4 linked regions of the Arabidopsis thaliana genome follow. The protein of the gene in region 1 interacts with the protein of each later gene in a pairwise test. Each region holds a gene or a part of one and is shown on either strand. Other genes may lie near its edges.

The links.
Region 2: the proteins of TTG1 (region 1) and GL3 interact in binary tests that used the Arabidopsis thaliana proteins (3 or more experiments, as listed by UniProt).
Region 3: the proteins of TTG1 (region 1) and TT8 interact in binary tests that used the Arabidopsis thaliana proteins (3 or more experiments, as listed by UniProt).
Region 4: the proteins of TTG1 (region 1) and AT5G47390 interact in binary tests that used the Arabidopsis thaliana proteins (3 or more experiments, as listed by UniProt).

Annotation. Positions count from the first base shown.
Region 1 is NC_003076.8:8,368,564-8,375,328, reverse strand, and holds TTG1 (Transducin/WD40 repeat-like superfamily protein), read left to right. Parts: upstream 1-2,481; 5' UTR 2,482-2,595; coding exon 2,596-3,621; 3' UTR 3,622-3,622; intron 3,623-4,148; exon of another isoform or gene 4,149-4,197; intron 4,198-4,322; 3' UTR 4,323-5,012; downstream 5,013-6,765. Other genes in the region: AT5G24510 (60S acidic ribosomal protein family), read left to right, coding at 5,463-5,531, 5,691-5,903, 5,981-6,034; AT5G24500 (fantom protein), read left to right, coding at 6,614-6,765.
Region 2 is NC_003076.8:16,525,937-16,534,556, reverse strand, and holds GL3 (basic helix-loop-helix (bHLH) DNA-binding superfamily protein), read right to left. Parts: upstream 5,468-8,620; 5' UTR 5,260-5,467; coding exon of another isoform or gene 5,258-5,259; 5' UTR 5,125-5,257; coding exon 4,979-5,124; intron 4,638-4,978; coding exon 4,356-4,637; intron 3,777-4,355; coding exon 3,680-3,776; intron 3,583-3,679; coding exon 3,511-3,582; intron 3,191-3,510; coding exon 2,357-3,190; intron 2,273-2,356; coding exon 1,838-2,272; intron 1,763-1,837; coding exon 1,691-1,762; 3' UTR 1,270-1,690; downstream 1-1,269. Other genes in the region: AT5G41320 (stress response NST1-like protein), read right to left, coding at 1-115. UniProt on the Arabidopsis thaliana protein: Transcription activator, when associated with MYB75/PAP1, MYB90/PAP2 or TT2. Involved in epidermal cell fate specification.
Region 3 is NC_003075.7:6,179,047-6,187,844, reverse strand, and holds TT8 (basic helix-loop-helix (bHLH) DNA-binding superfamily protein), read right to left. Parts: upstream 5,965-8,798; 5' UTR 5,779-5,964; coding exon 5,642-5,778; intron 5,423-5,641; coding exon 5,171-5,422; intron 4,790-5,170; coding exon 4,693-4,789; intron 4,505-4,692; coding exon 4,490-4,504; intron 4,408-4,489; coding exon 4,351-4,407; intron 2,667-4,350; coding exon 2,420-2,666; intron 2,336-2,419; coding exon 1,584-2,335; 3' UTR 1,322-1,583; downstream 1-1,321. UniProt on the Arabidopsis thaliana protein: Transcription activator, when associated with MYB75/PAP1 or MYB90/PAP2. Involved in the control of flavonoid pigmentation. Plays a key role in regulating leucoanthocyanidin reductase (BANYULS) and dihydroflavonol-4-reductase (DFR).
Region 4 is NC_003076.8:19,223,665-19,230,345, forward strand, and holds AT5G47390 (myb-like transcription factor family protein), read left to right. Parts: upstream 1-3,104; 5' UTR 3,105-3,336; coding exon 3,337-3,619; intron 3,620-3,780; coding exon 3,781-3,989; intron 3,990-4,276; coding exon 4,277-4,882; 3' UTR 4,883-5,231; downstream 5,232-6,681. Other genes in the region: AT5G47380 (electron transporter, putative (Protein of unknown function, DUF547)), read right to left, coding at 1-97, 201-311, 388-463, 710-807; AT5G47400 (sphingomyelin phosphodiesterase), read left to right, coding at 5,498-6,681. UniProt on the Arabidopsis thaliana protein: Transcriptional repressor. Direct regulator of the transcription of peroxidase (Prxs) and reactive oxygen species (ROS)-related genes via the recognition of 5'-ATCACA-3' motif.

The sequences.
Region 1 (6,765 bases):
ATGACCAAATTAATTATTTAAAACTCTTCCAGATGCATCATTATATTTTAAAAATCGAGATGTTACATATGTGTTAAACTTTCTTTTTTGTCTTCTTATGTGATATCAAATTTTATGATCTTATCGATTTTAATCAGGTATATCTTGGTATAGCCTTAGATTTCATAATCGCATATAAAAATCATAAATTATGTAGAAACTAGTTATAATCAAATAATATTTATTTCATATGGTATACCAAAATTAAGTATTCAATTGCTACGTGGATATTAATAATTTGAATTCGGTAACATACTCTTTTTCTTTTTGTTAAACCAAAGAATCTCAAACAAAAGTTTTTGATCATAGTTACTAAATCATTTTTGGTGAATAACCGAGAGAATGTCTCCCGACTTCTATTAAAAAACAAAAATAACAATTACACAATCACTCGTCTTGAACAAACAGGTCTAGAAACATCATCCCGTAAGATTTCATCCGCACACCGGAGAACATAAACAAGAGCATAAAAGCTTAAAGACAAGCATAGTTTGTTAACATGTCCGTAAAATGATTAGCCTCTCTATATGTGAAACACGGTCAATCTAGTTTTTCGATAAAAAACTATAGCGCAAACGTACTGGAAATGATAGCAGATGAGAGTCCCATAACCTTGTCTTCAAAATCTCAACCACCATTTACCACAAATATGGGGATGAAAACAGGCAAACGGTCTCATACGTTGTAAATAAGCATTCTTAATGTCAAGTTGGTAGATAGGCCATAAAATAAGCATCCTTATGTTTAGCGCATAGCCTCCACACCATTCACCCTCCTCATTACGTATCAGACCACCACCAGCCGCGAGTCTCGAATTGCCATAAAATACCCCATCAGTATTTAATTTAAACCAGCCCATAGACGAGATAAGCCATTTTATCAGCTTCTCAACCCGACCAGCCCTTTGTGTTGCCTTTCCGCTACTAGCTCTCGCCTCCAATACCTCCTTAGCTAACTCTCTTATGAACCGCACCCTATTCTTCCATACTTTATTCTCCCCAAAAACTAGCTAATTGAATTACCAACATTTGATCAAGATAATATACTAGGTAGCTAATTAATGAGCTCATTTTTTTTTGTCGTCAATGGGCTAATTTATTAATTACAGTATGAACTATTGACTATTATTCTAAATAAGTGAATATCACGAGTATGTACGAATTATTGGATGTATCTATTTGTATTGATTGATGTAATATCAAATAGTATGAATTTGGAGTAAACGTGGGTTTGGGGTTGAAGCAGGTAGGGCATGTCAAAGTAGGGCGTCTTTCGTTATGTCCCTTTCCTCTAAATTTGAACCTCTGTCATTGTACAGAAAAATCGTAATAACCCATAAATGTGTTTTAAAAAACATTATTTCGAGTTTTCTACACATATTCTAGTCATGTTTAATTTGAATCTTTTCTTATTTAAGTAAGCTTTAGACATTTTTAACCTAAGTTTTCTTCTCCCTTCATAAATTTTGAGATCTATATAATGTTCTTACATTTTGGATCAAGATCTTCATATTCTCATTCCAATTAGTAAAAGATTTTTTCACCTTTTAATCTCTTATCTTTTATTTATATTCTTTAGTTATGTTTATGCTTTTCATCATATTTAGTGGTTAGTTTTTATTATTTATTTATTGATTCATGACTTATGCTAGATTATGATAAGAATTTATGTTACCACTTGATAAATCCTCCATTTGACATGTGTTTAATGCTAGATTTATATTGTCTCCAAATTTACAACTTCGATGTCTTATGATAAATGCCAACAACCAAATTTCAGATAAAGATTAGCAGACTAACTAAGCTTATTATTCACTTGCAAGGTGGAGTGATGTTGAAAGAACCCTCACAGACACGTCATTGGGAAGACTAAATCTCTTTTTAGCACGTTACACCTTTGAGATCGCGTTTATTCCATATGGAGAGAGAGCAACAATACGAGACATGGAGAGGCACCATTACCGCCGGCGCAACTGCTTCCAAATATTGACAAACAAATTTGAATCTGGATCTTCTCTATTCGTGAACAAGGAGATAGAAGCTACGATGAATGCATGGAAGCTTGGTTTGCTTTAATATAAACACTAAAGGGGAGTAGAACTTTCTTGAAAAATTGTATGCAAATTATTTACCGAATGTTAAAAGCTTTTTTCGAATAAATTTTACATTTTCTTAATAATAATAATAAAAAAGGATTGTTGATTATCTTAATCACAAACAATTTATTTTAGCTGAATTAGACAATTGTTAGTAAAATGATTAGAGTGTCACATATTAATGTTGTTAGTGTTTCATGTCATCCTAGTGATCCAATAATTAGGCCATTCTATAGCTCTTAACGTTAAAATAAAAGGCCCATTATCTGAATATACAGAAGCCCATTATCAATAGATACATTAAAAGATACTGATTAATCCAGAGGGTTTATATCTACGCCGTCTCCATTGATTATTTCTCCGTCTCTTGAAAAATCCGACTGACACTGACCTCAAAACTCTCCTCTCACTTTCGTCGTGAAGAAGCCAAATCTCGAATCGAATCAGCACCACACATTTCCATGGATAATTCAGCTCCAGATTCGTTATCCAGATCGGAAACCGCCGTCACATACGACTCACCATATCCACTCTACGCCATGGCTTTCTCTTCTCTCCGCTCATCCTCCGGTCACAGAATCGCCGTCGGAAGCTTCCTCGAAGATTACAACAACCGCATCGACATTCTCTCTTTCGATTCCGATTCAATGACCGTTAAGCCTCTCCCGAATCTCTCCTTCGAGCATCCTTATCCTCCAACAAAGCTAATGTTCAGTCCTCCTTCTCTCCGTCGTCCTTCCTCCGGAGATCTCCTCGCTTCCTCCGGCGATTTCCTCCGTCTTTGGGAAATTAACGAAGATTCATCAACCGTCGAGCCAATCTCGGTTCTCAACAACAGCAAAACGAGCGAGTTTTGTGCGCCGTTGACTTCCTTCGATTGGAACGATGTAGAGCCGAAACGTCTCGGAACTTGTAGTATTGATACGACGTGTACGATTTGGGATATTGAGAAGTCTGTTGTTGAGACTCAGCTTATAGCTCATGATAAAGAGGTTCATGACATTGCTTGGGGAGAAGCTAGGGTTTTCGCATCAGTCTCTGCTGATGGATCCGTTAGGATCTTTGATTTACGTGATAAGGAACATTCTACAATCATTTACGAGAGTCCTCAGCCTGATACGCCTTTGTTAAGACTTGCTTGGAACAAACAAGATCTTAGATATATGGCTACGATTTTGATGGATTCTAATAAGGTTGTGATTCTCGATATTCGTTCGCCGACTATGCCTGTTGCTGAGCTTGAAAGACATCAGGCTAGTGTGAATGCTATAGCTTGGGCGCCTCAGAGCTGTAAACATATTTGTTCTGGTGGTGATGATACACAGGCTCTTATTTGGGAGCTTCCTACTGTTGCTGGACCCAATGGGATTGATCCGATGTCGGTTTATTCGGCTGGTTCGGAGATTAATCAGTTGCAGTGGTCTTCTTCGCAGCCTGATTGGATTGGTATTGCTTTTGCTAACAAAATGCAGCTCCTTAGAGTTTGAGGTGAGAGTTTCTGTTTCGCTACATAATTCTCATTTGCTAGGCCTAGATTCTAATGAGGAAGCATTGATTATTGGTTTAGATTGTGTTGCATTACAGATAGTCTTCTAGGTTTGGTAACTAAACGTTTTTTCGATTCTTGATAACAAAGCCACTAGAGATTTGACACTAACTCGTTTTAGATTTACCTGAATCAATATCTCTGTTAAAATCAATTACTTTGTTATGCATACATAAATCACAGTTTAGTAGTCATATATATTGGCTCTTATTAGCGACAGGTCTCACACTTGCTGTAATGGCTGATAGTGTAGTAGTCATATGTTGGCTTTCATCTAAGTTGATGTATCATATGATGAATAGTTGTACACTCGTCAGGTTCTAATTTTTACCCATAATTCTTCAGTCTATTTTTTTTTGAGACAATCTATTCTTAATTTAACGAAGCCACTAGCTACGTATACAAATATTGTTAATTTAACGAAGTATCTGAGAATTGTTTACTGCTGACTGTGCTGTATGCCCTCAGAAACATATAGAAGTGGAATTGGAAACTTCATGCTGGTTTGAACATCTTTGTATGTGTGCTTCAGGTTTTTGTAACTCATTTAGACAACAGCATTGCATATATACACGCACATATGCAACCTAGAAAATCAAATAACCTTTCCTTATAATTACTATACATTTCACTTGATGTCAGGTGCAGATGTGAAGTGATCAATAAGGATTTTAGCATAGACCCGTATAATCGTCATGTGCGTAAGTAGGTTTGGTTTGCGCTCCCTCTCGCTTTTAGGTCCGCAATGACTCTGTATCTATCTGATTGTAACTAAAACTGAATTCATTTGATGAACCAAATGATACTATTATCTTATGTTGTGTATAAAACCCAACCAGGATATATTGCGGTTTCTGGTGTTTAGATTTGGTAATTGGAGCTTAGTACAATGCAACCCTGTCTTGCTTTATTGGACGTCTCTAAGATAAATCAGCTTGCAATGAATTCCAATGGAGTTTGTCAGTTTGAATTAACTTCTTTGCATAATTAACACAAAGATTTGCAGTATAAATTCCATTGGAAGACTTATTTGTTTATTTGACACAGATTTAAATTGAATTTCAATGGAGTTTCAGTCGACTATGTGACACAAAGATTTGAAATGAACTCCAATGGGAATTTGGTGAGTAAATTATTATAAACAATCCAATGTTTGACACAAATATTTTAGAATCTTCACATCTGAAGTCTTATAAATCGTAGCAAAATTTTCAATCTTGAAAATTATAAAAAATGAGAATTAATTTAAATCACTGATCCGATAATCTCCTCTAGAAATATAAGAATCTATAAACCATTAATAGTAGAATTCCAAAATGTTATAAATCTATATACTATAAATGAAAATTTTACTTTTTAACTTTTGTCTCCATAATATCATACCATACTTAAAATTTTATTTATTTTATTCTAATAATCACAATGTGTTTCTTTGTATATAAATAGAGTTTTTCTAATGGTTTGAGAAGTGATTTGGAAAACATGGATACTCATATTTTTTTCAATTTATAAGATGATCAAAATAGAAAATTTAGCTTATGAAATCTTTTAGATTTAGGAACAAATGTATACTCTAAAATGTAACTATTTGACATGTGTCAAAATGTTTTTAAATTTGTTGTGATCTTGTTACAATTAAGATCAAGCTACTTGTCAGATTTTATGTGATGGGTTAAATTTTACAAAATTCTAGCCCAAATATAAAATACCTACGTCCTCAAAACTTAAAATGCAAGCGATAATAATACAACTTAGAGTACAAAGAGGTTAAAGGTAGATAGAATGTCGACCAGTGAGCTCGCCTGCACTTATGCTGCTCTCATCCTCCACGATGATGGAATCGAGATCACCGTTAGTTTTCTTCTCTTCTCTCTTTCTTCAAATTTGTTTTCTAGCTATTGAGACACTGTTTAGCCTATGTTTTAGTCTCTAGAATCGTCATCTCTCTTTTCTTGCCTTGTGGTTTCAAACTGATCTCACTTAAGTGTTGTAATAATGTAAAATTATTAGGCTGAGAACATATCAAAACTGGTGAAAACAGCCAACGTGAATGTCGAGTCATACTGGCCTAGCCTCTTTGCTAAGCTATGTGAGAAGAAGAACATCGACGATCTCATCATGAATGTAGGAGCCGGTGGTTGTGGTGTGGCTCGTCCAGTTACCACTGCTGCTCCTACCGCTTCTCAATCAGTCTCTATTCCCGAGGAGAAGAAGAATGAGATGGTATTTATTATCACATTATTAATTACAACAAACTACTAAATCAAATACTAAATGGTATAATTGTTTTATAATCTTAGGAGGTGATCAAAGAAGAGAGTGAAGATGACATGATAATCGGATTATTTGACTAGAAGAGCTTCTTTTTCTTTGCTTCCAAATTTTATGAATTTTGCCTCATATGAATATTTTGATTATTTACAATTTATTTGATTGTTTATGAGAGACAACAAAAATAAATCAAATCTATTATTGGCTATTGTTTAATAAATATATACAACAACAAAAATATGGGGGAATTTCTTTTTCAATGTTTTTTTTTTTTTTGTCATCCGAAAATTAATTAGGACTCAAACGAGCCAATCCTGAGGAATGTTGTTTACAAATATAATATGAAGCGGTTGGGTACGAACTTTTCGTGCCAAAAAATCCGCTTTAACATTAGTACTACGAGAGATTAAAGATAGAGAAAAATCCGCTTTTCAATGTTTTTTGGTTTTAGTATTTTTGGATTTATAAAAACAAAACCATATGAAGACGTATTTATTGTTACCAAAAAAAAAAATGATAATAAGAAGACGACGCGTAGTTGAACTCAGGATTTTCATTTGTAGTTTTCCTGTAATCCAAACGGCGCACTGTTTTTAAATTCACAGCAGAGAGAAAAAAAACAAAACAAAGACGAGCCAAGATTTGTATCTTCGTCGTCTCCGATGCTAAGCTCCATCATCGACGACAAACCTGCCTCCTCCACTTGGCTCAACCGCCTCCGATTAAACAGAGGCCTCACAACCGACGATGACGATGCTTCTGGCAATCCACTTACTCTCGACGACTTTCTCCGCCGCAACCACCACACGGAAAT
Region 2 (8,620 bases), 8.2 Mb from region 1:
GAATGATAGGATGCTGGGTCGAGTTTGAATCTGGATCATCGCTTGAAGAATCTTCAAAGTCGTTCTCTTTCCTTCTGAAATCCCATTTCTCACTGAATCTTGGCTCATCTCCCATTCTTAAAGATTCAGTCTAATTTCACTCTGTTCTTACAGATTGCACCTTTCTTTCAAAGATTTTTCATACAGCTGCAAGAATAAAAAAACACAACATGGATAACTATAAACAACACAAGTCTGTTGTAGATCGAAATGGATTACGGATCAGCACATCATCAACTTTGTAAAAAGATGGGAGTGTTCTTCTAAACAATGGAATATTAGGCGAGGAGATAACAAATATAAACCAATATTAATTGGAAAACTGTTTAAAGCATATCCATAAATACAAGATTAAGGATTCATCTCTGTAACACAGGTAAATAGAGAATGCATCTAGTAAAACCCGAGTAGTATTGCGATTATCTCGACTTAATTCAAAAGAGAAACTATTGTAAACTACATTTTCGAGAACTAAGAAGTACACACATAGTTAAGAAAAATATCCGAGATATATATAAAAACATGTAAATGCAAGTTCTTACCGGAGAGAAGAATTTTCAGGCCATCTTCACCATTCTCGATCTCTCCCTTGAGTCTTGTCTGATCGCACACTTTGTGTGTAAAATCGACATGTATCTTTGAATTTATGTTTTCGGTTTTGCTGTTAAAAAGGAAAGGAGTTATGTTTTTGTCTGAAAAAATATTTTCCATATGAGGTATATTTTATTCAAAGAAAAATATTTTTAGTCATTAATTTTGGTTCTACCTTCTAAATAACAATATTTTAGCTTTCCAATTTGGATCTTTTTCTTGATAATCAAGTTTACCCATTTTTCTATATTTTATATTTTTACACAAATTAGAAAGTAAATTAGAATTCACCTTAGAATTTAAAGGAATAAGATTCATGTTTTTATACTATTGTTTAAGATTTTTTTGTCAACACAAAGATTTTAAATGATAAGATAAGAGTACTCTGGTTTTCCATTAATATATGAAGATTATTTTCAGTTTGGGTTTGAAATATCCTTGATATTAAACGAAAAGAATAACATGAGTTGGTAAGTAAAACATAATAAGACATGACTAGATAGGTAAAATTACATAAAGCAAATTAGAAAGTAATTTGGTCAACACCTCTAAATTTGTAAAAATAAGATATTACAGCATTTATTTTTGTTGATTTTCACTATGTTATTTCAATGAAATCATTTATGACCCAGTTAAGGAAATTAATCTGGATTTCTTATCATAAACTTTACCTCTTTGTTATCCATGAAAATGCCAAAATGCAGAATCTTCTCCCGTTTCGTGTGAAGCTTTTTGACCACTAATTTTCATTTACACATTAATGTTTTTTTCCCCGTAATTTCACATCAACCTTGTGCTTAAACAACAAAAGAACACAAAATCATCTAAACTGGCTATTACTATTACTAATACCCTTAAAATAATCTACCTCAAACAAAATACGCATAGTGTATGTTCCTCTTCACCTACGTTAAGCAACGGAAAAAAAGACACAAAAAAAAAACAAAAAACAAATGATAAACATAACATTAATTCCTAAAACCCGGTTAGAAGAAAACCAAAGAATAGAAACCAAACCGGGAATGTTTTTTCTTTGCTGTCAATTTTAACTAAGTAGTCTTCAACAGATCCATGCAACCCTTTGAAGTGCTTCTTTGATCATTCCTGGTGTCGCTATTTTTGACCCCTTGTGCTGAAACCAACACATTTCATGTCAATCTAGGTTAACCAAATCCTGGTTAAGCCAAAAGTAGGTTAGAGAGTATACCTTGCAATTGACGGTTAAGCAGAGCAAACCGTCTCCGGTCGAGGATTGAACCGAATGAGAATCCAAATGGAGATCACTAATCACATCCATTATCTCAAGCAATACTCCTTCTCTCCAAGCACATCTAAGCTCAATAACCACCTCATTACCAAACGAACCGATCCTTAAATTATCGGTTAAACCAGTAAAACCGGTATCTGCTGGCTCGGCTTCACCAACATTGTTAACCGACACCTTCTTCCCATTTCCTGTTTCATTATTTGCGCAATTAGCTGATGTTCTTTCTCCTGCGTCGCATGGTTTCTTCCTCTTCATCGTCATCGTCCCACGAGTCTCTGTATCGGTTGATTCTCTGCAAGATTCTAGTTCTTGAACCCGTCTCTCGAGTTCTTGAAGATACTCTATCGTATCGTCAAGAATCGATACTTTATCGATCTATCGAAAATGTTAAACATAAGATTAGTTACCTCGCGATATATATGGATTTGAAATTTTGAAGAATCGATTATATAAATATACCTTGTTGATTGACGGAATGATTTTTCTCAAGGTCATGAACCGTTCGTTCAATTTCTCGCGGCGCTTCTTCTCTAAAACCGCATGGTTCCCAGTTTCATCTCTGGCTTCTGGTGAGTCCAACATTAACTTCTCTTTCTGGTGCACTCGCGGAACATCGAAAATAATTTTCTTTAACATTCCTTGTGATGGTGCCGTGACCGTGGCGGTTCCTGATGATGATGACGATGATTTCTTCCACCTAGTGAAGCTTGACTGTTTATCGCAGTTTCGAAACTGCGGTCCGAGAATTAACTGATGGTTGGTCTTAAAAATCGTTGAGATCACACTTTGGTAATGAACGTCGTCGTTTCTTGGATCAAATGACAATGTCTTCACATTTCTCTGTTGCTCTTGAATTTGCCCTAGTCTTTGAACTCTACTCTTTCTTGCACCGTAAGCAACCCGTCCAGCCGCCCCTTCAACAAACGTTTGAGAGACGCAATCGCTGGAATTTAGCGACTGGTGAACGCAGTTACTAAGCTCGTCGTCCATGAGCTGCCAGCTTTGCACCTGAGAAGCTCCTCCAGTGATTCTTTCGGTCATGAAAGAATCATGATCATCTGCTACTTGTTCATGTTCTTGATCGAAACCGTTGGTAGTTCTGCTCGGAGAAGCTGTTGGAAAAGGCTCCGTACTGAACATAGGCGCGTAAATCTCGTCGCCTAGAATCTGTTGCGGATCAAGAACGTTGTCGATGTGATAATCGGATCTTGCTGGTAATATTGTAGCGTACGGATCAGGGGCTTCGAGGAATGATGTCTTCACGCATTGTATTACATTCATGTCTTCCGTAATCTACGAGACGAAACACACCAAGAAAAAGCCTTGAAAAAGTTTTCAATTATAACTATACCAACGAGCTAGTAAAAAGTACAAAAGCCGTATTTTCGCGTTTTGTCATAACCAAACCGTGGAAATCTTTAAAAATCGAGACTACTAAAATATTAGTTTGTGTGTTCTTGGTGTCTATACCGTTATTCGACAGATTGAAGGGTCAAATTGAAATGTTAGAATACATTGTGGTAATTTTATAATTATTCTTTTTTTCTTAATAAAGGATTTTCATAATAATTATTCTAAAACATTGGAAGCAGAAAACACAAATATTGGCTTACATGTTCTGTGGTACCAATCTCAACGACTCCTCCAAGGAACGGGAAGCAAACCACTGTCTTAACCGCAGCACTCTAAACCACCACAAAACGCAAACAAAAACGAACGATTTTAGTGTTTTCAAATCGCAAAAAAGTGTTACATAGCAACTACATCAATACTACAACTTACTTTTGCTAGAAGAGAACGGCTAAACACTTTACTATCCGCCGTATGAGCGTTGCACAACCATATCGGTTCACCGTTTGCAAACGTCCGTCCAGGCATTCTGCAAAAAGACAGGTTCATTTAGAAAGCAGCAATGCATTCTAAGCTTAATTTTTCCACATTTTTTCTTCCTAACATATTCATAATTATTGAAAGTTAATTAGCCGTGTTCATAAAGACCAAAATGAAACGAATTTTTTAATTAATCCGGACAGAAACAAACTTTTGTGATGATAAATAAACCGAACTAAACTCGAATCGAACACAAATATACTGCAACCAAACCGAATTAATAAAATTTATTAGATGTAGAATAGAGTTAAACATACTAATGCATATATATACACATTATTATTTAAAATTAATTATGTTTTAACTTTTTCTTTTGTAATCTGAAACCGACCAAATCCGGACATTAAATTTTGAAACCAAACTGAAACTAAAAAATTGGTTCTAGCTCATACTTTTTTCCTGCAGAACCCTGAAATCTAACAAACCTAAACTGAACCATAAAAGTCGAAATCCTTGGACCTACTAGTATTAAAAGTATATTTTGGCACGTTGTTTAAAACTGGCAAAGATCAACACGATCATGACACATAATAAATGTCAATGCTGATAGAGGAAAAGACGGAATTACCCTTCACCAATGTTGAAGACGAAAGACATACAAACCAAATAGTACCACTCGGTGTCGGCGAGATCTTCCGGTGAAAGTGCGGCGGCGGAAGCTCGTCTGGTGACTTGAGATCCGGCAGCAACGCCTGAAGAAGAAGATTCAGCGACGGAGAGAGACTCGTAAAGCTCGCTAAGCTGCTCGCTCCTCCGTAGACCAAGCTGATCAGCTTTGATCTCCGAAGCTTGAATCGTCTTCCTCGTTTTGATATCTCCATTATAGTATCCATCTCCCCATTCTAAAACTCTTTTTATATATAGAAAAACAAAAACAAATATCAAATCGAATAAAGAAAACAAACAAAACATTTTCTTGAACTAATCAAGAACTTCAAGAAGAAGAGAAAAAAAATTGAACTTTTAAAGAAGATCAAGAAACCTTATATGAGTTTATAAGAAAAAATCAATGGAATCAAGAAAAACCTAGAGAACCTTGTCTTGAGTTGTAGAACTAAACACTAGTTTTGATTTGAAGTGAACACATAAGTTTTATCTAATTTTCCAATTAAAATCAAGAAATTTACTTCATCAATATCTTTCAAAATCTCCAATATCTAGTGTTCAATGAATATGATTTAAGAAACTTACCCAGACTGAGAAGCAGAGACAGACCAAAAGATACCATAACTCCATTGAATGTTTCGAACTGAAACTGCGAGGTGTTTCTTCAGATTCTCTGGCACAGTTGTTCTGTTTTGTCCGGTAGCCATTGTTTCTTCATCCCTATATCCCATGAAACCACACACAGGGAAAAAGAAAAGAAAAGAAAAAAATCAAACTTTTTGTCCTGATTTAGAAAGAAATAAGATACTATGTTAAATTTATAGCCTAAAAAAGAAAGAAAAAGGGAAACTTGTAACTCTTTACATTTTTTTTGAAGTATCAGAGAGGATACAAACTAGATGTTAAGGTTTTTGTGTTTGTCATTTGATGAAACAGTTGCCGTTTTCGCCGGAACAAACAGAGAAATGTTTGAGAGTTTTTTTTTTCTTTGGTCACTCCATACTTTTTTTTTATTAATGTTGTTTTGAATATTAATTTTGTTGTTGTTTGAGCTTGAACTCGAAAGACTAGAAGAACTGTCTACGAATCCTTTTTTTCTTTGAATATGACGATATCATCTTTGTTGTGTACAGAACAAAACACAAGACATTTATGACGAAAATAAAAAGTACTTATAATTTTTTAATGATTTATGAGAAAAAAAAAGGATACAAAAGTAGAGGAAAAAAGCAAAACGCTGATGTTGATTGATTGTTCCTCTTTTTATCTTGAAGTTGATTGATTAGTTCCTCATTTGGGAAGAACAACCTTTTTTTAAGACAATGAACTACAATGTCCATTGTTGTGGTCTTGTCTTCAATAAATTCTCTATTCAGTCTCTTTGTGGTTCTAGAGATCTCTTTTTTTTGGGAATATTGAATCATTGTGTGTCTCTTCCAACACTGATTTTAAAGTTAAAATGTTATCACGTCAAGGCTGAACTTTTCACCCATCTATTCTTGAAAAAAAATGTTTCCCTCACTTAATATCCCCACTGATACCAAAAAAAAAAAATTTGTTTCCTTGACTATTAGATCTTTGAAGCAATGTTGACTAGAATACCATTAGCATGTGATCCAAGTCCAATCTAACCAGCATCGTATGATTTCTTTCATTTTGTATAATCTAATCAGTCTTATTACTATTTGAGTGATCGAAATATATTATTGTCGGTGAGTAACATCGTTTTATGAATTTTCCAAAAGTACACAAAACGACCAAAAGTATAATGTCTCAAATCAGAGTATATGATTAACATATATAATAATAGTAAAATCATCAGCTTTTTACTTGGTGTCAAAACGAAGCTAATCGCTATGAATCTAAATTATAGTCACAAACACAATAATAGATAAATTGAGGAGGAAAGAGATAATATAAGAACAGTCTTTACTAAAATTGGGAAACACAAAGAAAGACACGAAATTAATGTTTGGCCTCGAGGAGTTCCCCCAATACGTACAGACACAATCTTAATTTTTGCAATCACATCTTTAAAATGAATAAAAATGTTATGGACATTTTCGACGTTGATTCTCCCTATAGTCATATACTTACAATATTATTATATTTCAAAATTCTCTTATACTATTAAACCTATATTTTCGAAGTATTTATGCAACTATTTAAAATATAACTTTAAATAAAACCCTGCTAAATGGACCATTAGTACTTATTATTTTCCTTTTCTGACATCTAGAAAAGAGAGAGACGTTGACGTCAGAAAACATTAAAATATATATACACGTTCGGTCCCCTACAAGATCAAAGTCTAAACATTCGTAGTGCTGTTGATCGGAGGTTTCGGTAAATTAATCGGATGTGTTGATGTTTGAGGGTAATATTTAGGAAATTTGGTATAGCTTTCGATACAACAATATAAAATTTGTCTGATCCAAACTTATGTAACACTAATATATATTGTTATTTTCAATCAGAATACTAACTCAAGTTAAATGGGGAATTCAACTCCTAATCCGATGAAGCCTTGCTGGTTTGGATCAAGACGTCATCTTCACTTCAACAACTCCATCTCCTGACTCCTATCTTTCGCTATGGTTTGCTAATTTCCAACAAAATTAGACCACATCTTTACTGATCTTACTAGAACACTCGTCTCTATATGTTTATCTTATTTGATTGTATCTGAGCATTAAGGCTCCTCTGTAAGACCTCTTTCATATATATAAACGGAACTAATTAAAAAAAGAAGTAATATATATATATATATAGGGTATATACTATGTTGTTATTTTCTTGACATAGACGGCACAGAAGAAATAATGTTGTAAACACGGCCATTAAAATCATAAACTTTTGGGCATGTACGAGAAGATGTGAGAGATTCAATGCTATGTATAGGACAATGGAAGCATGACACTATTTTGCTATTAACTGGTTTGTATCCTCTCTTCTATGTTAAAAAACTGTATGTTTTCCCATATACTAAATGACATATGGATATAGCTGAGAAAATAATATTTTAATTTGGATATACTATATTGGTTTAACAATGAAACATAAGTGGTTCCACTTTCCACCTCATAAGGCATATTATCATCATCTTATATGTATCTCAATTCTCAAGGTTCAGAAAAAGGTAAGATAGTTCATCTAAGTCAATGGAAGTCAAACTATGTAAATAATGGGCTTTTGATTTGCTTCTTGTTTATGATTTGATTCAAAGATCATGGTGGATCTTAGGAGGTAGAGAATCACATGAATTTGGATGGGAATTCAAAAAATTATACTTAATTTGGCTTAATGAAACAATTAATAAAGAAGAGACCAAGAGTCAATATTGTCACTGGCGACGTTAATTAAGCCATCAACTATATAATTTTGTCATTTCCCAAAATTGTCGTTATTACTTGTTGCGTCTCCATGAGAATCATAATGAACATTAGACCTCGTTTATTTAATTATATCATTAAGCCCGTATCCTCTTTTGTTTTATCCTGCTTTTTATAGCATTATTTTACTTAGACTCTACTAATATTAAAGTAAAATTTAGCTACCTATTTGTATCTACCATTGTGAAGTTATTTAAATACTACACTATAAATTTGTACAATCTTCGTTTAAGTTTCCTCAATCTCTATATTTTTCTTTTCTCTTAGCAATCAATAAAATAATATTTTTAAAAACAAAATATTTTATAAATTAATATTCGATAAATTAATAATTACTATAAATATTTATAGTCTTAAATTAGATTAGTGTACAAAATTGATGCAATTAATTCGATAAAACATTAATATATTATTTTAGTTTAGTTATATATAGACATATAATTCCATTATTTTGATAAATTAATACTTATATAAATTTATCATATATATATATATATATATATTACATACAAGAAAATTTAGTGGAATATGATATATATATATATATATATATATATATTTATTTCATTTTTTGAATCTGCATTGATTTTTGTTAGAGTTTGTTCCTAATATTTTTACTGCATCGAAAAGTTTTGGTATTGTCTTCTTATTTGTAATTAGTTCTAGAAGAATGTTACTAACTAAAAAATCTAATTTTTAAATAGAAACTTTTTAGTTCTAATATTAATTTATAGATATTTTACTATACAATAACAATTTGTAGCATATAACAACTAGGAAAAAATGATCAGCTCCATTTTAAGAAAATAACAATTTGCAACTGTAATATTATTTT
Region 3 (8,798 bases), on another chromosome or scaffold:
TTAGTTTGATTAATAATAGTTTCATTTTAAAAAAAAAAATTTAGTAGGCTTAGAATTATTAATTTTTTTAGTAATTTAGAAACCAAGAATTTAATTTTAAAAAGATATCTATTATATCTAACTTATTGATTGATATATTATTTTCTTTTATGTTTATTTTTATTTATAAATCATCGAACTTATTTTTTTTTGTAAAAGTATGGAATAACTAAAAAACCGGGACCAAACCAAAAACAAATCGAATCCAAACCGAACTGAGATACATATGGTTTTAATATTTATAAAACCGAACCGGAACCAAACTGAATTACATACTGTTTTTCTGTTTTTCTATGATTATAGTTTTTATAAAACCGAAAAAACCAAACCAAAACCAAATCATAAAACCGTACGCCCACCCCTATGAGTTGTAAGAGTGGTTCGATTTAATATAATCTCCTGTTTACTTTGATTGTAGTTCTCGGTTCAGGTTGGTTAAATTTTTACATTAAACCAATTTCAGTTTAAAACGATTATTATAAAGTTCTGAAATTAAAATAGGTTTGACCTTGGATTATCTTGAGTCTTTTTACCCTGCCATCAATTTTTGGTCAAAGTAAGTTAATATTCATTTAAACCGTTTTTTTTTTCTTTTTGGCAAGGTTTGGTATCTGAATTCAATCAGAATTCTAACAGTTCATACCGAAATCAAAGAATCGAATGGGCCAGGCCAATTTTAAGCAGCCTGCTAAGTGCTGAAACTATAGAAAGATATCTTACACTATTGAACACCACTATTCAAGAAAGAAGACAACAAAGGAAGTGGAGCCAATGCAGTTACACATCTTGCAGCTTTGATAATGTATGATGATCAACTAAGAGAAAAATATATATAGCTCATGCTGCAACTATGAACATTGTCAATACATTTATCTCGTTGGTTGATAGCTTAATATTCTTGACTTATAAATGTTCTTCCATACACTAATTATGAGTATAACTATTAGTCTACTCTAGAAATTGTTGATTCTTACACTAAAACGCAATTTCGTAATTTTGCTGGAAAATTTGATTTCGTAATTTGATGTGCTACAACTTGATTCTTAAAATTGAGCACCAAAGTAGAATGTAATGTTTTATATAAACTCTTTGATTTCTCTAATCTGAGGTTAATGATAAAATTACATAAATTATGACATACAAATTTTGGCATAAATTATTTTAATGAATTTTGTAAAGATTTTTTAATAATATTTTCTCAAATTTGAACGTAAGAAAAAACTACATAGAAATTCTACATCTTTATGCATCAAAAAAAATATGATGTTTTAGATGCAACTGAATCTGCATCCAAATATCGCATTCATACAAAAGTACTAAATTGGACAACGAACAACATCGTCATCTAGTACATTTGCATTTATATGTTGCAATTGCATCATACACAAGTACTACATTGGACAAATGAACAATATCATCTAGTACATTTTCATTTATATGTTGCATCCGGCTATATATGTAACTGATGTCTTAATACATGTGAGGCTAAAACAAAAATACGCTTAATTATCCTTCTCTAGAGTTGGCATCAATAAAGTTAGGGTCTATAGATTAGTATCATGTATTATGACTTGGTGGATGGCTCTTTTGACCTCAGCGATGCTTGCTTTCTTCCCTCTTACTTTCGCCCTTATCTCCGCCTCGAAATCATGGTCGTTCACCGAGGTATGAACTGCCGTAGTCTCTATACCAAGCTCATGAAGAACCTGAAGAATGTCAAGCAACAAACCATCTCGGTACTCACATCTCATCTCTAACAAAACATCATTCTCTATGATGGAAACCTCCACCTCCTCCGATGTTTTTCTCTTACAAGTACGCGTCCGCTTATGCTGTTGCTCATGATGAGTATTCTCAAGCTCATGGACCCTCTTTCGAAGATGATTTACGTACGCAATGGTGTCTCCAAGGATTGAGACTTTATCCATCTTGGTCACAAATGGAACCATTGATCTCAACGTTATGAATTTCTCGTTCAGCTTCTCCCTCCTGCGTCGCTCTGCTACTACGTGGCTCAGATCTTCCCGCGGTAGCCTCTTATCTTTAGTGTTGTCATGGAGGAAAGGAACTCTGAAGATCATTTGTTTGAGCACCCATTGTGACGACGGCGCCGTTTTCACTTGCTGATGCTCTTTGCCATTCTCAACCCTCCACGTGGCAAACGATGATTGGATGTAAGAAGATGTGGAAACTGAATCTGAAAGAAGACTTGTGGGGTGTGACATGAGAAGTGTTGTTACTGTCTGAGAATAGTTTCCACCTTCCTCCATTAGATTCATCATGTCCATATGTGTGTCTACATATATATACAAATGATAATTTCTTAGATATAGCGAAATAAATCCGCAAAATATAAGTAGCTTAGGGTAGATATATATACCTAACGTATGGGTTGATTCAATATGAAGATCAGAGTGTAGATTTTGATTGGAAACATCTTCATCATCAGGAGAGCCAAGCCTCATTTCCTCTGACATTGTCATCTCTTCTTCTACTTCTTCTTCGTCTTCGGCTTCTTCATGCACTTCGTAGGTGGAGTGTTCAGAAAGAGCCGGCTTTGGGTTCGTCTTGCAGTGGTCATAGAAGAAACTCTTTGTGAGCTCAACAAACTCTACATCTTCTCTTACCTACACACACAAATACAACAAATAAATATTGATCCATCACTACAAAAAAAAGGATAGATTACATCAATTAAATAGTATCACAAGTATAAATGGTACAAGTTTAAATTACTTATAAGCAAATGACACAAAATAAATAATTAAACATCAATTATAATAAGTGATGTATAAATTAACATGTTTAGCGTCACTTTAATCAAATTGATAGAAATTTGTATTAGTTTGCATCATTTTAACAAATTGATACAAAAATCTGTATTTACACCAATTAAATAACCGATGTATTCACTTAATTTTATTAACATCAGTTTATAAAAATGATATAAAATTATACATCAATAAGAAGTGATGCTAATAAGTTTTTCTGTATTTTAATTTAAACAAAAAACTAACTTGAATTTATTGTAGATGACGAGAAATTGTTATTACCATAAATAAATAATCATATTGGGTTAATAATTTATTATTAATTCCTATATTTTCCCTCAAAATCAGCTAACTAAATATATTTGTTTCCTTCACTATAAATCCTGCTTTTACGCTCACGATCTTTTTTTACAGTTTTGTATCCAAAAACGTTTTTAGAATATCTTCAAATTAGTTTTTGAAATCTCATAACTCTCATTCAATTCTTCATCTTCAACGACAAGTACTTTCTTATTTTTCTATCATTCTATCTTTCTCTTTTTCTTAACCATTGCTCAGTTTTTTTCTTTTCTTTTATTTTCAGAAATCTGCCATTGATCATTAGGACTGTTTGTTTTCCTACACAGTTTGGAGAAACACAAAGTAAAGGTACTCTATCACTTTCTTTTAAAAATACTTACAAATGGTTATTCTTATTCCGACCAAAACAATTCTGTAAATTTTCAAACAATTACTCTCTTTTTTATTTTGTACAGCAGAAACTCAAGTGTGATGAGGATTCAAGAGATATAAGTTATAACCAAAGTATGATTTTGATTCTGTAAATGGAAGAGAGATGGCATAGAAGAAGAAATGGTATTTTTCAAGAAGAACCAACAGTTAATGGAAGGAAGAAGCATGGAACAGAAGAAAGATGTGTTTAAACACGAAGAAACCAAAACCAAATTATGATTATTTTTTTGCTTATCTTATATAAAGATTTATTGTTCATGTAAAATATTTTATTAAATCTTGATAAAATTTTAGTAGATATTCCAACGAGTAATTATCCACAATGATCTGTTATTTAAAAAAAAAAAAGAAATAAATAAAATAATTATTTGAAATATTAATAACATTGTATTAATAATTATATATATATTAATTAAATCAGTTATTTAAACCGAAACAAATACTAACATCACTTAAATAAATTGATGTAAACATTACATCATTTTTAGTAACTGATACAATATTGATATCAATTATAATAATCGATGTAATTATTTTGATTATTTACATCAGTTACTAATTAACTGATGCAAATTATTTGCATCAACAATATTTAAGTCACTTATTTAAGTGATACAAAATTCTTTTACATCACTTTTAACTAATGCAAATATTTATAATAAATGATGTAAAACAACCTTTTTTTTGTAGTGCATCTCCTTAATTTAACATTACTAAACCTAAAGAAAGATAGGCTATATTCACTTTGTTATTTTGTTTATATATTTCATTAACAAGTAAATAAAAGAGAGAGTATATACAACGTTACCTTTTTCGTTGTGCCTAGTTCCACAACACCATCAAGCATTGGAATGCAAACCACTGTCTGCTTTTTTAAAATACATTTTCATCAGAATACAATTCTCAAATCTTACTAAAAAGAGCAAACTAATAAAGACAAATTTTACCTGAATTTTAGCACTCTAAGTCATTGAGGAACCGACGTAAAAGGCCCATAAAACGACAAGAAGAATTATTCAAGTTAATCAGTGAAAATGTATAAAAGTATAGATAAATAGGTTTACAAGTAGATAGATACATAGTATAGTGTATACATAAATAGGTAAAAATAGATGCATAGTATAGTTGGTGAATGAATAAAAGAATTTACCTTAGCGAGAATAGCTCTAGAAAAAGTTTTACTGTCAACTTCATTTGCACCACTTAGCCATACGTGCTTCCTCCTTGCATACGCTTTTCCTGGCATCCTACAAATTACTACCTCCCAAATTTATATTTGATTTTTTTTTACCACATAGAGAAAAGCATGAAGTATACCCATAACTAACCCATTTTGTTATGCATTTATGTTATATCTATTCATGCTTCTACTTTAGATAATCAATCACCAAACAATGAGAATCTCAACGGTCGCAATAATGTTCATGAAAATGTAGTGTGTGTACGTTTCATTAACTCTCATTTCTTTCTTATTCTAGTAACTCAACTTCCTCAGTTTCTCTTTAATGTCAACACAATATTTTCGATATTCGCATTTAACACACAATACTATTTTTGTCTTCACTTAGAGAAGGAAAAAAAAGAAAGAACAAATTTAGAAACTTGAGTATAGGGAGAGAGTTGTTTACCCAGATGGAGGAGGAAAAGAGAAAGAGACGCACATTAGATAAAACCATTCTGTCTCCGTCAAATCCTCCGGTGACAATGCGGTGCATGCTCTTGCTTCTGACGTTGACTCTCCGGCTAAAAGTGTCTCATAAAGCTCCCTGAGCTGTTGGCTCCTCTCTAACGCCGCCTCTTCTGCCGTCACCTCCGCTGGTTGAGTTGTCTTCCTCGTCTTTATTGCACCGTTGTAGTATCCATTCCCCCACACCAAGACCCTAAACAATGATACTTTCATATAAGTAGTTCAAAAATCTTAATAAATTTTGTAAAACCTTCAAAAAAAAAAAAAATTATTTCAAGATCGAATTGTAACACTACGACAAGCCAACAATTAGCCGAATTCATTTAAACATATAGTTTACATAATATATACGGATATAGATATTATGGTTGTATTGTGAGAGATGAATGAACTATAGAGATAAGAAACTAACCGTTGTTGAGGACAAAATTGCCAGAAGACACTATAAGTCCAGTCCACAGATTGAACCGCCGTCTTAAGCAGCCCTTGAAGCTCTTTTTTCTCAGCTCCGGCCACTTTCTCTGCCGGAATAATACTTGATTCATCCATCGTTCCCGGAGATACGAAAACGTGGTAGCTCTCTCTCTAAAAATCTTATAACTTTGAAGGGTTGTTATTAATATGTGAGAAGAATTTACTCTCATACGCTCATGATGACTTAAAATGGTATGGGACCACTGATTTTTGCAATATGCATGTATACGTATATCATCTTAGTGCTTTTGCAACATGTTGACATAAGTAAAGTATAATGCATGTAATGACTTCTATGTATATATGTATGTATATGAATGCATGACCAAAACTCAAGTGCATTAAAAGTTGACTTTTGATTTTTGAATGGTTGGTTCACCAGACGTTGGATGAGAAAGTGAAATAATGAAAGATCTATGTATCTTGTAGACGTGTCATATACTAATTGGACAAATCAAAATACAGAATGAATATATCTAATAATGCTATATTTATTTATTGTTCAGAAAGCATAACATATTATTGTAGATAAAATAGCTAACTGACAAACAAATGAAAACAAATGTTGCTTTGACTTGTGTTACTGCTACAAGGAGCAAAGAAATTGCGTTTTTCACATTTCTATTATTTATAAAATTGATATTAAAATTATATATTGATTAAAATGTTCATTAACAATTTTAAGAAGTTGGAATTATTGGATGAACATTCATATATATTTTCTTTAAAATGAAAAGATAAACTTAACCAAAGATGGGGAATGGTAGAATTGTTGACCTGACCGGTAAGTAAAGAATGAGAAATGGTTTGGTGTAATAAAGGAGAAGAATGAGATGTTTCACATTTGAGTTATTAAATTATTGATGTTAATTGCTAGCCAAGTAGCAGCCACTAGCCACTATAAGTTTCCCATTTAATAATGTCTTATAAAATATAAATGTAGATAGATACTGTTACGTACACATATCGTAGTACATACGATTTTGGGTATGGTTAAGGGTAATGTATGTACACCTGGTTACTTAGACAAAATCAACATTGAATGTTTCTTGGCTTTTTTGTCGACAAAATAAATGTTGCTTGGCTTTTGCTTCTGCTTCTGTGTTTCTTATTACATGTTGTTTCTTCTGAGTTTAGTCGTTCACCAATTATGTAACTCTGACGACGGGCCACGTGGAGTGGTTTCTTCTTATTGATTTTGCTTCTCCTTGTGTGCATCTTTGTGTTTATAAATAAAGGTGTTATGTAACTCATTTCTCATTGGAAATGATTCAAATAACAGAAAATAAACAATACTGTTCTAACACAGAAATGAGCGATTGGTTATTCACAATCACAAGGACAATGCTTTAGTACATAAACGAGAGGTTGGTTAGGCACAAATGTTAACTAAAACCCAAGTTCTTCCATTCCAGAAATGACAAATCATTCCTATTTATAATGCTTTGTTTTCAATGAAAATGACATTAGCCAAAAGTGTTTTGGCAAGAATTAGTTGTTGGAATACAATATATCTTTACAACGCACAACTGCATGAGCTTTGAAGGACCCCGGCCGGTTTATGATGAGAGTGAACTATTTGAAAAGTGGACCACATAATTGTAGAAAAATAATGGGTAATATAGTGTGATGCAAATTGGTGTGAAGTTTTTTGAGTTATTTTTTCTTTCTTTTTCTGAAATGTAATCATTCGTGTGAATGAGAGATTTCTTGTATTTTGTTCAATATATTAAGACCCGGTCCAAACCGGTCAGTTGGACCGTAATCCCATGATCCCGTTGGGGATCCATGGCTAAAATCGCCATGTATTGAACCCTGAAAAGTTCATCATTAACTTGTGATCTGACCGAATAACGATTTAAAAATCACTTACATCAATCTAGAGGATTTGATTTTATAACCTTTTACCACAGTTAGAGGAATTAGTTTGACATTTTCGGATAACAAATAGTATGGTTTTCTTTTTCCTAACCCTTTTTTGCTACCCAAAACCTAAGCTTTATAATCTTTCATAACATGCGTAAGATAGTAAAAATATCAAGCGGTAATGACTAATGAAAAGACAAAAGTCTAGTGTCTAGTGGTATATTTTAAATTCTATCAATAAAATTTTGTAATTTTTCTTTTAGTCGTGTGTATTGTAACATTGACTAAACTATGTGATTTATGATTCTTCAGATCTTGAGGAAGAAATTACATTATCTACAAAAAAAGGGTGTAAGTGATGGAGATAGACAAAATTTATTGCTGTGATGCTTTATTAGCTCATCTAATATGAAATTGACGATTTACTATTCTTTTAGTGTTTGGTTTTTGGTTTAATTAGTTTCTTTGAATGTAGCAAGTTAAGACTTATCTCACCAAATATATATATATATATATATATATATATATATATATATATTTTTTTTTTTTGTTAAATCTCACCAAATATTTATAAACTCAAATCTCTTGTGGAGGAAAATCTTTCATTCTGCTTGGCAATGATGCAAAATATCTGGCACCATGAGTCCATGATCCTAAGGTGGATATAATGGTATGATTTGTCCTTTGGAAATGAAGTGTTACTAGATCATAACCCGTGCTATACAGCACGAGCATTAATATTTTGTATAAATTAAATTGTATACTTTGTTTCAATTACATAAGAAATAGTATAGTATAAAAGCGATGTCATAATATTTTTCAATGTTTTTACTATTAGCATATAATGCTGCATTGGATTGACTTTGTTTAAAAATGTTATTTTTATAATAAATATAACATATATAGTTTTAAGTAAATGTGTAAAATTTGTATACAAGTTGTTTTGGTAAGAAACATGTTTCCTTTGTATTAGTGGATCTAATTTTTGGCCTAACTTAGAATTAGTCTTTGTATAGTATTTTGGTTATATTTGTGGACCTAATTGGAGCATATATTAGATTATCTTTGATAGGGCTGACAAAATACGGACCCGATAACCAACCCAATACCCGAACCAAAAAACCGGGTTAGGGCGGGTTAAAATTTTAGGAAATTTCCTTATTGGGTAGAGTTTTAGTAAACCCGTGGATATCCGATTGGTCCAGAAATTACCCGTTACCCAAAAAGAG
Region 4 (6,681 bases), about 11 Mb from region 1:
GCCCTGGAGACAAACTGCTCGAAGCACGGCCCATTGCTCTCTCTAACACCATTCTCATAGATTTCTCCTGTTGAAGACGAAGGTGAAGCTGCTCAACCTGTGTAGCCAAGTCACAAAGATCATTCAGATGAGATCAATTCACTTTTTGGACATGATAATGCATGTTAAAGACGAGGAGATACGAAACATGACGCGCTTACATCGCGTTCCAAGGATGCTCTGTCGTTAGAAGACACATTGTTTTTAGTTAACATCTGACAATTATGCAGTGGTTTTGGTCTCTTGTTTGCTGTTGTTTGAACAGAGGATGCCTATGGACCAGAAAAATACAAATCAACCTCAAAAGAAAAAAACAATCATATGAAATACAGCTTTAAAGTGTCTTACTTGCATTCTAGTGAAGTTGTTTGCAGATTGTGAAGCTCCATTACCAGAAGTGTGAAGATCCCGCTCTGACGACGCACTGGGAAGATCATAAACAAGAATTCGTTCTAGCCTCTAGGAAGAAACATTCTAAACAGAAAAAGCTCTAAAACAGACTTCTTTGCATAACAGTCTCTATCTACGTCGTTTTCATCATAGAGACGTTTAAGCAAACATTGGTGTGCAAGAAACATCGAGAGATAATCTCAAAAACCCATTAATGGATTTAAGATAAAGATTCAATATTAGTGAAAAGATTGAGCTTAAACTATTGAAGCGAGAGTACCTTTTAGAGCGGCCATGTTTATGAGAATCCAGGCAATGCCAAGAATCTCCGTTTCTTCTCTGCTTGTTACCGTCTTTATTCAAATCAAAACCACCCATATATCTCAGCCAAAACCTTAAACTCAGATGATGAAAGTAATCAAAGTCTCCAAAAGAATCTCAGTAAAAGAAGAAATTGATAAAGGAGTGAATTCAAATGCAGCAAAGGAGAAGAAAGAATGAAGAAGTAAATGCAGAGACGAAAACTGAAACTGTAGCTTAGCCCATAAGAAAGGGGACCAGGTTAGTAGTATCAGAGTGCCTGCCAAAATTCAATTACATTTCACTTTATGGTTGTTGTATTGCATTTAATTCGATTTTTTTTTTGTCTCATTTTAAATTCATAGTTCCATTTCCCTCCTTTTTTCGAGAAATACAACACTTCTAGGTTAGGAAAATTCGCATAAATAGTTATACTCTTAATTTTCTCTGGTCAAATAATATTAAGAACACGCTACAGTAGGACAGTGCAGTAGTTAATGTTGTCATGTCGGTCCGAGTACATTGAGAATTTAATGTTCCGATATAAATTTCCTTGTTTTTTCCCAATTTTGAAAAGTCCGTTAAATTTTCATATTTATTCAACGAGACACTGTACTTTCAGTTTCCACCGAAAAATAATTCATTACTCATCATTTATTCAATGTTCGATAATTTCTTGGAAGCAGACAGCATTTGGGCCTCGAGATTTAAATTGGCCCAAGGTCCACGTTTACTTGGGTCAATCACAGTCAAAACGTTTTCCCGGGGTTTCTCTCAATTTTTTTGTCAAAGTCTCTCAACTTTTAAAAATACAAACACTGGGATCCTCCACGGCATGCAAAAGGATATTATAATGAAGATGAAATCAAATTGGTATAAAAAGTTGGAGAAAGGTATAAACACTATGTATGTGGCTAAAAATAGCTAGAAACTTATAATTTAGGTGAAAGAAGATTTGAGTAACGTTGTTGTTGTTATATAATAAGATGAAATAATGACAAGAAATCTGAAATAATATGCGAATATGCCACCGACGGGAGAAATACACGTGGACGGCTGATAAAGCTTTGTGAAGGAATCCCACAATAATATAAGAAGATCTGACCAAAGGTTCCTTTCTGGATAAGCCGCTCTCCTCGTGTCCACGTGGCATTTTCAAACGTGGGACCTCCTAATCTATATCACTAAACCCATCCACTCATATTATCTCTCTTTCTATCATCTAAAATCCAAAATGTTCGTCCATTTTTTTTTTTCTGTTCATAAACAAAAACTGCATTGCCTTTTAATTTATTCTTCTTCTAATCCATACAAATGATTATGGAACTATAAATCTATAATAATAATACAATTAACCACAAAATAAAATATATCTTAGTATTATAAGATATGACTTTTGGAGTTAGGGGGTGTCTAATACAAATATTATGGTATTTGTAATCTTAGCAAGAAATGAAATCACAATCATGTTTATCTTTCTTAAGATAACATATTTTACTCAGTCATGGGTCTACTTTTATTTTCAGTTTAGATTATTAAATAAATAACAATAGTTTTGTCGCCTTACTATATGACCAAAAATTAGATTTTCTCTATGTGTAGGATGTTGGCATTTGTTTACCATTTTTCTTATGATAACTTATTAAACAGATGTCATATTTTACTTATTTGTGTTTATAACTGTTAAAATCTAGTCAAGCTTTCTGTATGGAACGCGTGAAGGGCTATTAAGATATTTTAAAATGTTGAATAGTGTAATTAATCTTGTGGCTAATAATATTCATGCCAATTGTTAATTTCTGGTGGAGGGTTAACACTTGTACATAAATACTTAATTTTTCTTTTTGCAGTTTTTGTATAGATATCCATCCTTATATAAATAGAAAAATATAAGGAAATTGTAATGATTTAGCATAAGACAATTGGATAATCACAAATGCATTAAACCTATTAACTAGTCTATATAGAAAGAGTTATTAGTTACAGCTATACTATTTGTGGTGGCATTAATATATAGTAACTTATTTAAGATATATGTCATAATGTTAAAAAGAAATCACAGAGAAAGCTGTTATTTTTTTTAATCCTAAATTTAAAACTTTGGATATTGAGATTAGCCTGTAATACATCTTTTTCCAAAAAATTTATACAAAAATGGCCATTAATAATTAATAGTAATAGCTAGTTGGACTTCTTAGTTCAAAGTAATTCAACATTTTTTCTAAAATAAATCTTCTAATAATAGAACACGTTGGATTGACTAATTAAGTCAAATATGAAATATGGAAAAGGAAAAAAATCCACCAACGATACACCAAATAATTTCCGATTTTTATATATATAAATAAACATACTAAGAGCAAAAGAAAAACAAACTGAAAATAAAAAAAATAAATAAATAAAAAAAAAAATCCGGCCAGATAAATCGAATTTATGTAATAAATCCGACCAGATAAACTGATATTATTGTCTTTCTTCCGCTCCTTTGTCTCTCTATCTCTTTCTCACAATTAGATTCTGTGCTTCTTCTGCGATCAACTAAGATCCGATCCGCGAGCGTTTCAGACTTCGATCAGATCCGATTAAGAGAAGCAAATCGGGTCGGGTATGACTCGTCGATGTTCTCACTGCAATCACAATGGCCACAACTCTCGGACTTGTCCCAATCGCGGCGTGAAGCTCTTTGGTGTTCGGCTCACCGAAGGTTCGATCCGGAAAAGTGCAAGTATGGGTAATCTTAGCCATTACACGGGTTCTGGATCGGGTGGGCATGGAACCGGGTCCAACACTCCGGGTTCTCCGGGTGATGTCCCTGACCATGTCGCTGGTGATGGTTACGCTTCTGAGGATTTCGTTGCTGGCTCTTCCTCTAGCCGCGAGAGAAAGAAAGGTATCTTCGTTTGATTTCTGAGATTAAATTTTTTATCAAATTCCAAATTTTTGTAATTGAGTTTATTTTGCATCAAAGTCGTTGATTGCATTATGTAACAAGTGGTGATCTGGTTTATGTAACAAGATTTTGATGTGTGTTTGATATTGGTTTTGTTGTAGGAACTCCATGGACAGAGGAAGAACACAGGATGTTCTTATTAGGTTTACAGAAGCTGGGTAAAGGTGATTGGAGAGGTATCTCAAGAAACTATGTGACCACTAGGACACCTACACAAGTTGCTAGCCATGCTCAGAAGTATTTCATCAGACAATCCAATGTCTCTCGTCGCAAAAGACGTTCTAGTCTCTTTGATATGGTTCCTGATGAGGTTTGTTCCTTCTTCATTCAAAAACACCATTTTTATTTATATTGGAGTGGTTACAAAATGTGTTGAGATACTGATTTAAAGGATTCAGAAGCTTATTAGGTGGATTGGTTTGCCTTCTACATTTCAATATGAAAAGTTGAAGTCTGTTGGGGTTCTAATTGATATGCTTGAGGATATCATTTTGTAGCCAATCCTGCTTAAGCATTTTGGTCTTCTCATGGGAATGTGATCTTGAAATGTAATTCTCTTTCTTTATTCTGCTTATGCTGTGTGATTTGTCCTTGTAGGTTGGAGATATTCCCATGGATTTGCAAGAACCAGAGGAAGATAATATTCCTGTGGAAACTGAAATGCAAGGTGCTGACTCTATTCATCAGACACTTGCTCCTAGCTCACTTCACGCACCGTCAATCTTGGAAATCGAAGAATGTGAATCAATGGACTCCACAAACTCTACCACCGGGGAACCAACCGCAACTGCCGCTGCTGCTTCTTCTTCTTCCAGACTAGAAGAAACCACACAACTGCAATCACAACTGCAACCGCAGCCGCAACTACCTGGCTCATTCCCCATACTATATCCGACCTACTTTTCACCATATTACCCGTTTCCATTCCCAATATGGCCTGCTGGTTATGTTCCTGAACCACCCAAGAAAGAGGAAACTCATGAAATTCTCAGACCAACTGCTGTGCACTCGAAAGCTCCTATCAATGTTGACGAGCTTCTTGGTATGTCTAAGCTCAGCCTTGCAGAGTCCAACAAACATGGAGAATCCGATCAGTCTCTTTCATTGAAGCTAGGTGGCGGGTCATCTTCAAGACAATCAGCATTTCACCCGAATCCTAGCTCTGATAGTTCAGACATCAAAAGCGTGATACACGCTTTATAAAAGACCTGAGGAAGTGATGGTCTAAAATGGGATCTGGTTTGGGGTTTACAGGTTAGTTGTTGGTCACAGTAACTTAAATAAGTTTTTCTTTGTTAGGTTGTTTAACTTGGGTAGGATGTTTTAGTTCAGCTTTGATCATTAGGGAAAAGAAAAAAGAAAAAAAAAAGGGAGAAAAACAAATTATTATTTTTTGCTTACATTTCTTTATATTTGTATGCTTTTATTTTGACTCTAGGATGCGTTAATTTTCGTTTAATCTGTACTAAAAATTAGAATTTATTAGTTTTGAATAAATAAAATCACAGTTTGTTTATCCTCTGACCAAAAACTATAACTGGATTGAAAACGGAAATTAAACCAAGACGAACCGGATTTAACCGGACTCCAGTGTTGTAAGAGAAAGTAAACAAGTTCCCAAGCGTTTCGTAAGTAAAAAAACGAATGGGCTAAACAATTAGTCTAAATGGGCCTTAAAAGAGTGAATAACGTGTCATAATCAGGAGCGTTAAATTTAGGGCGATGAGTGTCGAGAGTGTTCCCGCGTTCACCGATTCACTCCACTCTTTGGTTAAAAAGTCCACTGTCATGGAAAATTAATCGCGGTGATTTACACAGATGCCACGTGGCACGTTCGCTTTCTTTTTCTTCCTCGTGTTGATTTTTTTTCTTCTCTTTTGTCCCTCTTTGGTTTTTCTTTTCCCCTTCACAAGGCGCGATTTGAGTCGCCTCGCATTTCAAACCCTTCTTCTCCGGCGTAAACCTTTGCTCTATCTCTCGATAAAAACCCTTGTTTCGTTTTCACCTTCGTATTTAGCGATGCTTCCACACTCCTACACCGTCGATTCGCTTTCGCAATCACAAGACCTAGCTTCAGCTATACTCTCAGCTTCCACGCCGTCGAGTATCTCCGCTGCTTGCTCTTCCGTCGAATCGTTTCTTCAGTCGCATACGCCTGATCAGTGTCGCCATTTCTTCTCTGTTACTTTTCCGAGTTTAATCTGTAAGATCTTCGGTTTCGGCGACACGACCGCGGCATCTCCGGCACAGTCTTCTTCGCTGCGACCGAACGGTTGGATCGATGTAATCTCGGCGGCCAACGATTTGGATTTAGCGGAGAGAGTATACAATCTCTTATCCCCTAGTGGAATACTCATGAGCTCAATCTTCGCTGTTGATAAATTAGCTCTTGTTAAGTATGTTTTCCCGACGGAACGTTTACCGGAGTATGCTAGATTCATGCTCTCCAGCGAGAAGGATCGAATTGCGTTATCGAATCTGTGCCCCTTTTTGAAAGGTAAAATTGAGGAGGATTCAGTTCGTGGTTCATTGTGTGAAGTTAGGCTAAATGTTTTTGAGTATTACATGTTTTGGCTCTCTTATTATCCAGTTTGTAGAGGAAACAATGAGATTTCAGCTGTGAATCTGAATCCTATCCAAAAGAGAAACAAGTTTAGGCTAGAGAATTGGACACTTATCAAAGGTTTTCCAGGGAGTAACAAGCGTGATTCTGATCAGAAATTGGAGTGTAATCTCTACATAAGGCTTCTTTACTCTTATTTGAAAGCATTTGTTCCTGTTTTCGACTTAAACGCTCACCAGCCTTATCGTAGTTCTCTTTTGCATTACGGAAATGGGTATGATGGGTCAGTGATGACAAGAGCTGAGTTCTTGGTGAATGTTTTCGTGCATTATTGGCTTGTTGAGAATGACTTCTCACCATTTCCTGTTGTTACGGCTAAATCTTTTGGTGTGGCTCCTCCTTTCCGTTCTGCTGTGGAGGAGATTCCACCTACTTGTGG